Linked DNA regions of Saccharomyces cerevisiae S288C. Each later gene encodes a partner of the first gene's protein in a complex. Each region holds a gene or a part of one and is shown on either strand. Other genes may lie near its edges. A codon is read from its position in the direction of its gene.

Evidence for each region.
Region 2: the proteins of STE12 (region 1) and PSE1 are in contact, whole or in part, in a crystal structure (PDB 3W3W), measured with the Saccharomyces cerevisiae proteins. Residues at the interface, in NP_011952.1 of Saccharomyces cerevisiae: Ala607 (codon at 3,343), Lys608 (codon at 3,346), Ile609 (codon at 3,349), Ser610 (codon at 3,352), Lys611 (codon at 3,355), Pro612 (codon at 3,358), Leu613 (codon at 3,361), His614 (codon at 3,364), Ile615 (codon at 3,367), Lys616 (codon at 3,370); in NP_014039.1 of Saccharomyces cerevisiae: Glu287 (codon at 2,793), Asp346 (codon at 2,970), His347 (codon at 2,973), Arg349 (codon at 2,979), Gln350 (codon at 2,982), Asp353 (codon at 2,991), Arg354 (codon at 2,994), Leu357 (codon at 3,003), Ser392 (codon at 3,108), Ser393 (codon at 3,111), Glu396 (codon at 3,120), Cys429 (codon at 3,219), Asn430 (codon at 3,222), Gly433 (codon at 3,231), Gln434 (codon at 3,234), Asp438 (codon at 3,246), His470 (codon at 3,342), Ala473 (codon at 3,351), Ala474 (codon at 3,354), Val476 (codon at 3,360), Asn477 (codon at 3,363), Glu480 (codon at 3,372), Gln512 (codon at 3,468), Thr515 (codon at 3,477), Lys556 (codon at 3,600).

Annotation. Positions count from the first base shown.
Region 1 is NC_001140.6:272,650-276,740, forward strand, and holds STE12 (homeodomain family transcription factor STE12), read left to right. Parts: upstream 1-1,524; coding exon 1,525-3,591; downstream 3,592-4,091. Other genes in the region: SAM complex subunit SAM35, read left to right, coding at 1-967. UniProt on the Saccharomyces cerevisiae protein: Binds to the DNA sequence mediating pheromone induction (called the pheromone response element = PRE) which is found in the upstream control region of several a-, alpha- and haploid-specific genes.
Region 2 is NC_001145.3:888,452-894,155, reverse strand, and holds PSE1 (importin PSE1), read left to right. Parts: upstream 1-1,934; coding exon 1,935-5,204; downstream 5,205-5,704. Other genes in the region: NIP1 (translation initiation factor eIF3 core subunit c), read left to right, coding at 1-1,168; 1,3-beta-glucanosyltransferase GAS1, read right to left, coding at 5,474-5,704. UniProt on the Saccharomyces cerevisiae protein: Functions in nuclear protein import as nuclear transport receptor. Serves as receptor for classical and arginine/glycine-rich nuclear localization signals (cNLS and rg-NLS) in cargo substrates.

The DNA.
Region 1 (4,091 bases):
CATGCCAGTAAAACGGATATTTGACACATTTCCGTTACAAACATATGCTGCGCAGACTGACAAGGACGAGGCCGTTGCATTAGAAATACAGCGGAGGTCCTACACATTCACAGAACGCGGTGGTGGAAGCTCTGAGTTGACTGTGGAGGGGACGTACAAGCTAGGTGTTTACAACGTTTTTTTGGAGGCAAATACAGGGGCGGCATTGGCCACAGATCCATGGTGTCTGTTTGTTCAGCTTGCGCTGTGTCAAAAGAATGGTCTAGTCTTACCCACGCACTCGCAGGAACAAACCCCATCGCATACCTGTAACCATGAAATGCTCGTTCTGTCCCGTCTTTCTAACCCCGATGAGGCCCTACCTATTCTAGTTGAGGGTTACAAGAAGAGAATTATAAGATCCACCGTGGCAATCAGCGAAATTATGAGGTCTCGGATACTTGATGATGCTGAGCAGTTGATGTACTATACGTTGCTGGATACCGTGCTGTACGATTGTTGGATCACGCAAATAATTTTCTGTGCCTCAGATGCGCAATTCATGGAATTGTACTCTTGCCAGAAGTTAAGTGGTTCGATAGTCACTCCATTGGACGTAGAAAACTCTTTATTACAGAAGTTGTCCGCAAAGAGTTTGAAGATATCCCTAACAAAGCGGAACAAGTTCCAGTTCCGCCATCGAGAAATCGTCAAGAGTATGCAAGGAGTTTATCACAACCATCACAACTCCGTTAATCAAGAGCAGGTCTTGAACGTTTTGTTCGAGAATAGCAAGCAAGTTCTTTTAGGTTTAAAAGATATGTTGAAAAGCGACGGGCAACCCACTTACTTACATCTGAAAATTGCAAGTTACATTCTTTGTATAACGAACGTTAAGGAACCCATAAAGCTAAAGACATTTGTTGAAAACGAATGTAAAGAATTGGTCCAGTTTGCACAAGACACCCTGAAGAACTTCGTTCAGTAATCACTTTCAAGCTGTAGTATGTAAACGATATAGATGAAGTTTTCGTGTGTATAAATATATGAACTCTAGAGTGTTGCATAATTTGAAACACAGCATTTCTTTTCGGAGAGCTCGTTTCAAAATGAAACAAACGCCGTTGTCCGTTTTCGTCTCAATAGAAAAAGTGAAACAGATAAAAATTGTTTTAAAAGAAACGAATTTGCAACATCTTAAGATATATCAAAACTAATACAAAACAGCCTAAAAAAGATTGAACAACTCTTCGCGGTCAGGTCTCGACACCATAAATCGAAGTACTCGTACGCTAGTTTTCTCGCACATAGTACCACTACGTTCCTTTTACAATTAGATTACTTCTTTTTAGTTGACTTTTTTGAGACGTTCGTGCCATTCATAAAATAGGAAAAGATAACAGGTAAGCACTGAAGACTTGTTTTATAAGTGTCCCAAGCGAGACCTAGAGTGGATATTGATATTTCTCAAACAAGACTCGTCGAAGAAAACACACTTTTATAGCGGAACCGCTTTCTTTATTTGAATTGTCTTGTTCACCAAGGATGAAAGTCCAAATAACCAATAGTAGAACAGAGGAAATCTTAAAAGTTCAAGCTAATAATGAAAACGATGAAGTCAGTAAAGCTACTCCGGGCGAAGTTGAAGAATCGCTAAGGTTAATCGGCGATCTAAAATTCTTTTTAGCCACAGCGCCGGTAAATTGGCAAGAAAACCAAATTATAAGGCGATACTATCTGAATAGTGGACAAGGCTTTGTCTCTTGTGTATTTTGGAACAATCTATACTATATTACAGGTACTGATATTGTCAAATGTTGTCTTTACAGAATGCAAAAGTTTGGGAGAGAAGTAGTTCAAAAGAAAAAATTTGAAGAGGGTATTTTTTCAGATTTAAGAAATCTCAAATGTGGTATAGATGCAACTTTAGAACAACCAAAGTCCGAATTTTTGTCGTTTCTATTCAGAAATATGTGTCTGAAAACCCAAAAAAAGCAGAAAGTATTTTTTTGGTTCAGTGTAGCACATGATAAGTTGTTTGCGGATGCGTTGGAAAGAGATTTAAAAAGAGAAAGTTTGAATCAGCCTTCAACGACTAAGCCCGTTAATGAGCCCGCCTTATCTTTTTCATATGATTCCTCATCTGATAAGCCTCTCTACGATCAGTTACTTCAACATTTAGATTCTAGAAGACCATCTAGTACAACAAAATCAGATAATTCGCCTCCAAAATTAGAAAGCGAGAATTTTAAGGATAATGAGTTGGTAACAGTAACTAATCAGCCGCTTTTAGGCGTTGGCCTCATGGATGACGATGCGCCAGAATCCCCCTCTCAAATTAATGATTTTATTCCTCAGAAATTGATTATAGAACCCAATACTCTCGAATTGAATGGTCTCACAGAAGAAACGCCTCATGACTTACCCAAGAATACCGCTAAGGGCAGAGACGAAGAAGATTTTCCTCTCGACTATTTTCCTGTATCTGTTGAATACCCTACGGAGGAAAATGCGTTTGATCCGTTCCCTCCACAGGCTTTTACGCCAGCTGCCCCTTCCATGCCTATTTCCTATGATAACGTGAATGAAAGGGATTCTATGCCCGTTAATTCTCTTCTTAATAGATACCCCTATCAGTTATCAGTGGCACCCACTTTCCCAGTGCCACCATCATCATCGAGGCAACATTTTATGACAAATCGGGATTTTTATTCATCTAACAATAACAAGGAAAAATTGGTATCTCCTAGCGACCCTACCAGCTACATGAAGTATGACGAACCAGTTATGGATTTTGATGAATCTCGGCCAAATGAAAACTGTACAAATGCAAAATCTCACAACTCTGGCCAGCAAACTAAACAACACCAATTATATTCTAACAACTTCCAGCAATCTTACCCAAACGGAATGGTTCCAGGATACTACCCAAAAATGCCGTATAATCCCATGGGGGGGGATCCTCTACTCGATCAAGCCTTTTATGGCGCGGACGATTTTTTCTTTCCACCAGAAGGATGTGATAACAATATGCTGTATCCACAAACTGCAACTTCATGGAATGTTTTGCCCCCTCAAGCTATGCAACCAGCTCCAACCTATGTTGGGAGACCATACACACCGAATTATAGATCGACACCAGGTTCCGCGATGTTCCCATACATGCAAAGTTCAAATTCCATGCAGTGGAACACTGCTGTTTCACCTTATAGTTCGAGAGCACCATCTACAACTGCTAAAAACTATCCTCCTAGCACATTTTATTCTCAAAATATAAATCAATACCCACGGCGAAGAACTGTGGGAATGAAGTCTTCACAAGGAAATGTTCCAACAGGTAATAAACAATCTGTGGGCAAGTCTGCAAAAATTTCAAAGCCTCTACATATTAAGACAAGTGCTTATCAGAAGCAATACAAAATCAACTTGGAAACGAAAGCCAGGCCAAGTGCTGGTGACGAAGATTCTGCTCATCCTGATAAGAACAAAGAAATTTCGATGCCTACTCCGGATTCCAATACTTTGGTGGTCCAGTCAGAAGAAGGTGGAGCTCATTCACTTGAGGTAGATACCAATCGAAGGTCCGATAAAAACCTTCCAGATGCAACCTGATATAATATAATTTTTGAATTTATGATACAAGAATTAAAAATGCGGGCCAGAATTTAATATTAAACAATACTCAGAAGAAAACAACAAGGACAATCTGTTTTTATAAATAAAACAATCTTATACAAGACTAGAGCAAACAAAAAGCAAGAAAAAAAGGTAATAAATGTAACAAATCTATTAACGTTAGAAAATAACAAAAAAAAAAAAAGAAAAAGATAATATAATATAATACCTTTATATATGTGATTTATCTAGCGTCACAGTATGTAATATAAATATCAATGAGTTTCTTAACATGACCTCCAAAACTACATGATCGCTTAGTATTACAATATGTGTTTATCCACTATTTTGATACCAACGTAGTATTGCCTTTTATTTTTCAGAATGGCAAAGGCCATCGGAAAATTTTTCCACCAGAAAAAGCGAGATTCCTAATTATAAGGTGAAGGCATCGATGTTCATAATAGTTAAAAGTTGTAATCAAAAAAGAAAAAGGT
Region 2 (5,704 bases), on another chromosome or scaffold:
CCTAGAAAGAGCATTGACACGTCCATTCGTCAAGAGATTGGATCATATCTACTATAAATCCGAAAATTTGATAAAAATTATGGAAACTGCTGCTTGGAATATCATACCTGCTCAATTCAAATCTAAATTTACTTCAAAAGACCAGCTCGATTCTGCTGATTATGTCGACAATTTAATAGACGGATTATCGACAATCTTATCCAAGCAAAACAACATTGCTGTTCAAAAACGTGCTATTTTATACAACATTTACTACACTGCATTAAACAAAGATTTCCAAACTGCTAAAGATATGTTACTAACTTCCCAAGTTCAAACAAATATCAACCAATTCGATTCATCCCTACAAATTTTATTCAACAGGGTTGTTGTTCAATTGGGTCTATCCGCCTTTAAATTATGTTTGATTGAAGAATGTCATCAAATTTTGAATGATCTTCTGTCAAGTTCTCACTTAAGAGAAATTTTGGGCCAACAATCCCTACACAGAATATCTCTCAATTCTAGTAACAATGCTTCAGCTGATGAGCGTGCTAGACAATGTTTGCCATATCACCAACACATCAATCTCGATTTAATCGATGTCGTCTTCTTAACATGTTCCTTATTGATCGAAATTCCAAGAATGACTGCCTTCTATTCCGGTATTAAGGTCAAGAGAATTCCTTACTCTCCAAAATCCATTCGTCGTTCCTTAGAACATTACGACAAGTTAAGTTTCCAAGGTCCACCAGAAACTTTAAGAGATTATGTCTTGTTTGCTGCCAAATCAATGCAAAAAGGTAACTGGAGAGACTCTGTTAAATACTTAAGAGAAATAAAATCTTGGGCTTTATTACCAAACATGGAAACGGTGTTGAATAGTTTAACGGAAAGAGTACAAGTTGAATCTTTGAAGACTTATTTCTTTTCTTTCAAGAGGTTCTATTCAAGTTTTTCTGTTGCTAAACTAGCCGAATTATTTGATCTTCCAGAAAATAAGGTGGTTGAAGTTTTGCAATCTGTTATCGCAGAATTGGAAATCCCAGCCAAATTAAACGACGAGAAGACCATCTTTGTTGTCGAAAAGGGTGATGAAATTACTAAATTGGAAGAAGCAATGGTAAAATTGAACAAAGAATATAAAATCGCTAAAGAACGTCTTAACCCACCATCAAATCGTCGTTGATCAATAAAATCAAAAACTACTTCGAAAGCATTCTTAACAAAAAATCATTGTAGATAGAAGAATAACATCAGCAACCAAAAAATATAGAAGGAAACTAAGCAGGAGAGTATAAACCATATTCACTTTTGCTTTTTATTCTTGATATTGCTCATCTTTTTTTTTTTCGATTCTTTTAGCGATCTCTTTATTTTTAGTTTTAGGGTTTGAATCTAATCGTCTTCACTGTACATTACACATAAGCAAATATATATATAGTTTTTTTTGTTACGTAAACACTCTTTATAATATAATACAAACTATTAAACTTTAAGAAAAGTATGATATGCCGCTTTATTTCTTCATCAAATATAATCTCAAAATATATGGATCATGAGTGTTGATAAATAATCCAATAGCCTATCATGGACTATCTGTTTGACATTCTAAAAAAAAAAATAAATTGTACGAACTGCAGTAAATCGGTATTATCATCATGACGCACGATATCAATTCTTTGCAGAAACTGAAAAATTTTTCATTTTCTACCCAGGAAAAAAAGAAAAATGAAATTCACTAAAAAAATGGGAATACTAATACCAGACGGTCCAATAATCACTATAGTATTATAGACAGCTATAACAGTGATCGAAGTTCGGCGCTCTTCAGATACCGAGTGGCTAATAGACTGAGTAGATCAAAGTGGCAGATAGCCCAAACAAAAGTAATTAGCTTGCAAGCCACTTTATCCTAACGACACGTGATTTCAACCGTAACTAGAGCCATCGCTATGTCTGCTTTACCGGAAGAAGTTAATAGAACATTACTTCAGATTGTCCAGGCGTTTGCTTCCCCTGACAATCAAATACGTTCTGTAGCTGAGAAGGCTCTTAGTGAAGAATGGATTACCGAAAACAATATTGAGTATCTTTTAACTTTTTTGGCTGAACAAGCCGCTTTCTCCCAAGATACAACAGTTGCAGCATTATCTGCTGTTCTGTTTAGAAAATTAGCATTAAAAGCTCCCCCTTCTTCGAAGCTTATGATTATGTCCAAAAATATCACACATATTAGGAAAGAAGTTCTTGCACAAATTCGTTCTTCATTGTTAAAAGGGTTTTTGTCGGAAAGAGCTGATTCAATTAGGCACAAACTATCTGATGCTATTGCTGAGTGTGTTCAAGACGACTTACCAGCATGGCCAGAATTACTACAAGCTTTAATAGAGTCTTTAAAAAGCGGTAACCCAAATTTTAGAGAATCCAGTTTTAGAATTTTGACGACTGTACCTTATTTAATTACCGCTGTTGACATCAACAGTATCTTACCAATTTTTCAATCAGGCTTTACTGATGCAAGTGATAATGTCAAAATTGCTGCAGTTACGGCTTTCGTGGGTTATTTTAAGCAACTACCAAAATCTGAGTGGTCCAAGTTAGGTATTTTATTACCAAGTCTTTTGAATAGTTTACCAAGATTTTTAGATGATGGTAAGGACGATGCCCTTGCATCAGTTTTTGAATCGTTAATTGAGTTGGTGGAATTGGCACCAAAACTATTCAAGGATATGTTTGACCAAATAATACAATTCACTGATATGGTTATAAAAAATAAGGATTTAGAACCTCCAGCAAGAACCACAGCACTCGAACTGCTAACCGTTTTCAGCGAGAACGCTCCCCAAATGTGTAAATCGAACCAGAATTACGGGCAAACTTTAGTGATGGTTACTTTAATCATGATGACGGAGGTATCCATAGATGATGATGATGCAGCAGAATGGATAGAATCTGACGATACCGATGATGAAGAGGAAGTTACATATGACCACGCTCGTCAAGCTCTTGATCGTGTTGCTTTAAAGCTGGGTGGTGAATATTTGGCTGCACCATTGTTCCAATATTTACAGCAAATGATCACATCAACCGAATGGAGAGAAAGATTCGCGGCCATGATGGCACTTTCCTCTGCAGCTGAGGGTTGTGCTGATGTTCTGATCGGCGAGATCCCAAAAATCCTGGATATGGTAATTCCCCTCATCAACGATCCTCATCCAAGAGTACAGTATGGATGTTGTAATGTTTTGGGTCAAATATCTACTGATTTTTCACCATTCATTCAAAGAACTGCACACGATAGAATTTTGCCGGCTTTAATATCTAAACTAACGTCAGAATGCACCTCAAGAGTTCAAACGCACGCCGCAGCGGCTCTGGTTAACTTTTCTGAATTCGCTTCGAAGGATATTCTTGAGCCTTACTTGGATAGTCTATTGACAAATTTATTAGTTTTATTACAAAGCAACAAACTTTACGTACAGGAACAGGCCCTAACAACCATTGCATTTATTGCTGAAGCTGCAAAGAATAAATTTATCAAGTATTACGATACTCTAATGCCATTATTATTAAATGTTTTGAAGGTTAACAATAAAGATAATAGTGTTTTGAAAGGTAAATGTATGGAATGTGCAACTCTGATTGGTTTTGCCGTTGGTAAGGAAAAATTTCATGAGCACTCTCAAGAGCTGATTTCTATATTGGTCGCTTTACAAAACTCAGATATCGATGAAGATGATGCGCTCAGATCATACTTAGAACAAAGTTGGAGCAGGATTTGCCGAATTCTGGGTGATGATTTTGTTCCGTTGTTACCGATTGTTATACCACCCCTGCTAATTACTGCCAAAGCAACGCAAGACGTCGGTTTAATTGAAGAAGAAGAAGCAGCAAATTTCCAACAATATCCAGATTGGGATGTTGTTCAAGTTCAGGGAAAACACATTGCTATTCACACATCCGTCCTTGACGATAAAGTATCAGCAATGGAGCTATTACAAAGCTATGCGACACTTTTAAGAGGCCAATTTGCTGTATATGTTAAAGAAGTAATGGAAGAAATAGCTCTACCATCGCTTGACTTTTACCTACATGACGGTGTTCGTGCTGCAGGAGCAACTTTAATTCCTATTCTATTATCTTGTTTACTTGCAGCCACCGGTACTCAAAACGAGGAATTGGTATTGTTGTGGCATAAAGCTTCGTCTAAACTAATCGGAGGCTTAATGTCAGAACCAATGCCAGAAATCACGCAAGTTTATCACAACTCGTTAGTGAATGGTATTAAAGTCATGGGTGACAATTGCTTAAGCGAAGACCAATTAGCGGCATTTACTAAGGGTGTCTCCGCCAACTTAACTGACACTTACGAAAGGATGCAGGATCGCCATGGTGATGGTGATGAATATAATGAAAATATTGATGAAGAGGAAGACTTTACTGACGAAGATCTTCTCGATGAAATCAACAAGTCTATCGCGGCCGTTTTGAAAACCACAAATGGTCATTATCTAAAGAATTTGGAGAATATATGGCCTATGATAAACACATTCCTTTTAGATAATGAACCAATTTTAGTCATTTTTGCATTAGTAGTGATTGGTGACTTGATTCAATATGGTGGCGAACAAACTGCTAGCATGAAGAACGCATTTATTCCAAAGGTTACCGAGTGCTTGATTTCTCCTGACGCTCGTATTCGCCAAGCTGCTTCTTATATAATCGGTGTTTGTGCCCAATACGCTCCATCTACATATGCTGACGTTTGCATACCGACTTTAGATACACTTGTTCAGATTGTCGATTTTCCAGGCTCCAAACTGGAAGAAAATCGTTCTTCAACAGAGAATGCCAGTGCAGCCATCGCCAAAATTCTTTATGCATACAATTCCAACATTCCTAACGTAGACACGTACACGGCTAATTGGTTCAAAACGTTACCAACAATAACTGACAAAGAAGCTGCCTCATTCAACTATCAATTTTTGAGTCAATTGATTGAAAATAATTCGCCAATTGTGTGTGCTCAATCTAATATCTCCGCTGTAGTTGATTCAGTCATACAAGCCTTGAATGAGAGAAGTTTGACCGAAAGGGAAGGCCAAACGGTGATAAGTTCAGTTAAAAAGTTGTTGGGATTTTTGCCTTCTAGTGATGCTATGGCAATTTTCAATAGATATCCAGCTGATATTATGGAGAAAGTACATAAATGGTTTGCATAAAGACGTTTAATAGAAAGAAGAACAATGTTAAGTAGTTCTATAAGGAATATTAAATGAATATTGTCTTTTTTGATGATTTAAAAACATATAATGTAACAATAGTGTTCTTTTTAATTTACCGGTGGTAATAGCGAATAGAATCTTATAAAACTTACATAGAAAAAAAATATATACTATACTTACAACTTTTCATTTTTTTCGTAAAAACTACCCCACAATGAAATAAGATACCATACCTTATCGAGTTATTATGTATGTGTCGAAGCTTTTTAAACCAAAGCAAAACCGACACCAGCGGCAATGGATAAGGAAATGATGGAGGTAAAGACCACTTGTGCTAAGTTAGCTTTAACGTTGGTGGCAGCATTCTTCTTGCTAGAAGATGAAGATGAAGCTGAAGAAGAAGAAGAAGAACTGGAAGAACCAGAAGAGCCGGAGTTAGACTTGGAAGAAGACCCCGAAGCGTTAGAAGAGGCAGTACTGGATTCAGTTCCGGAACC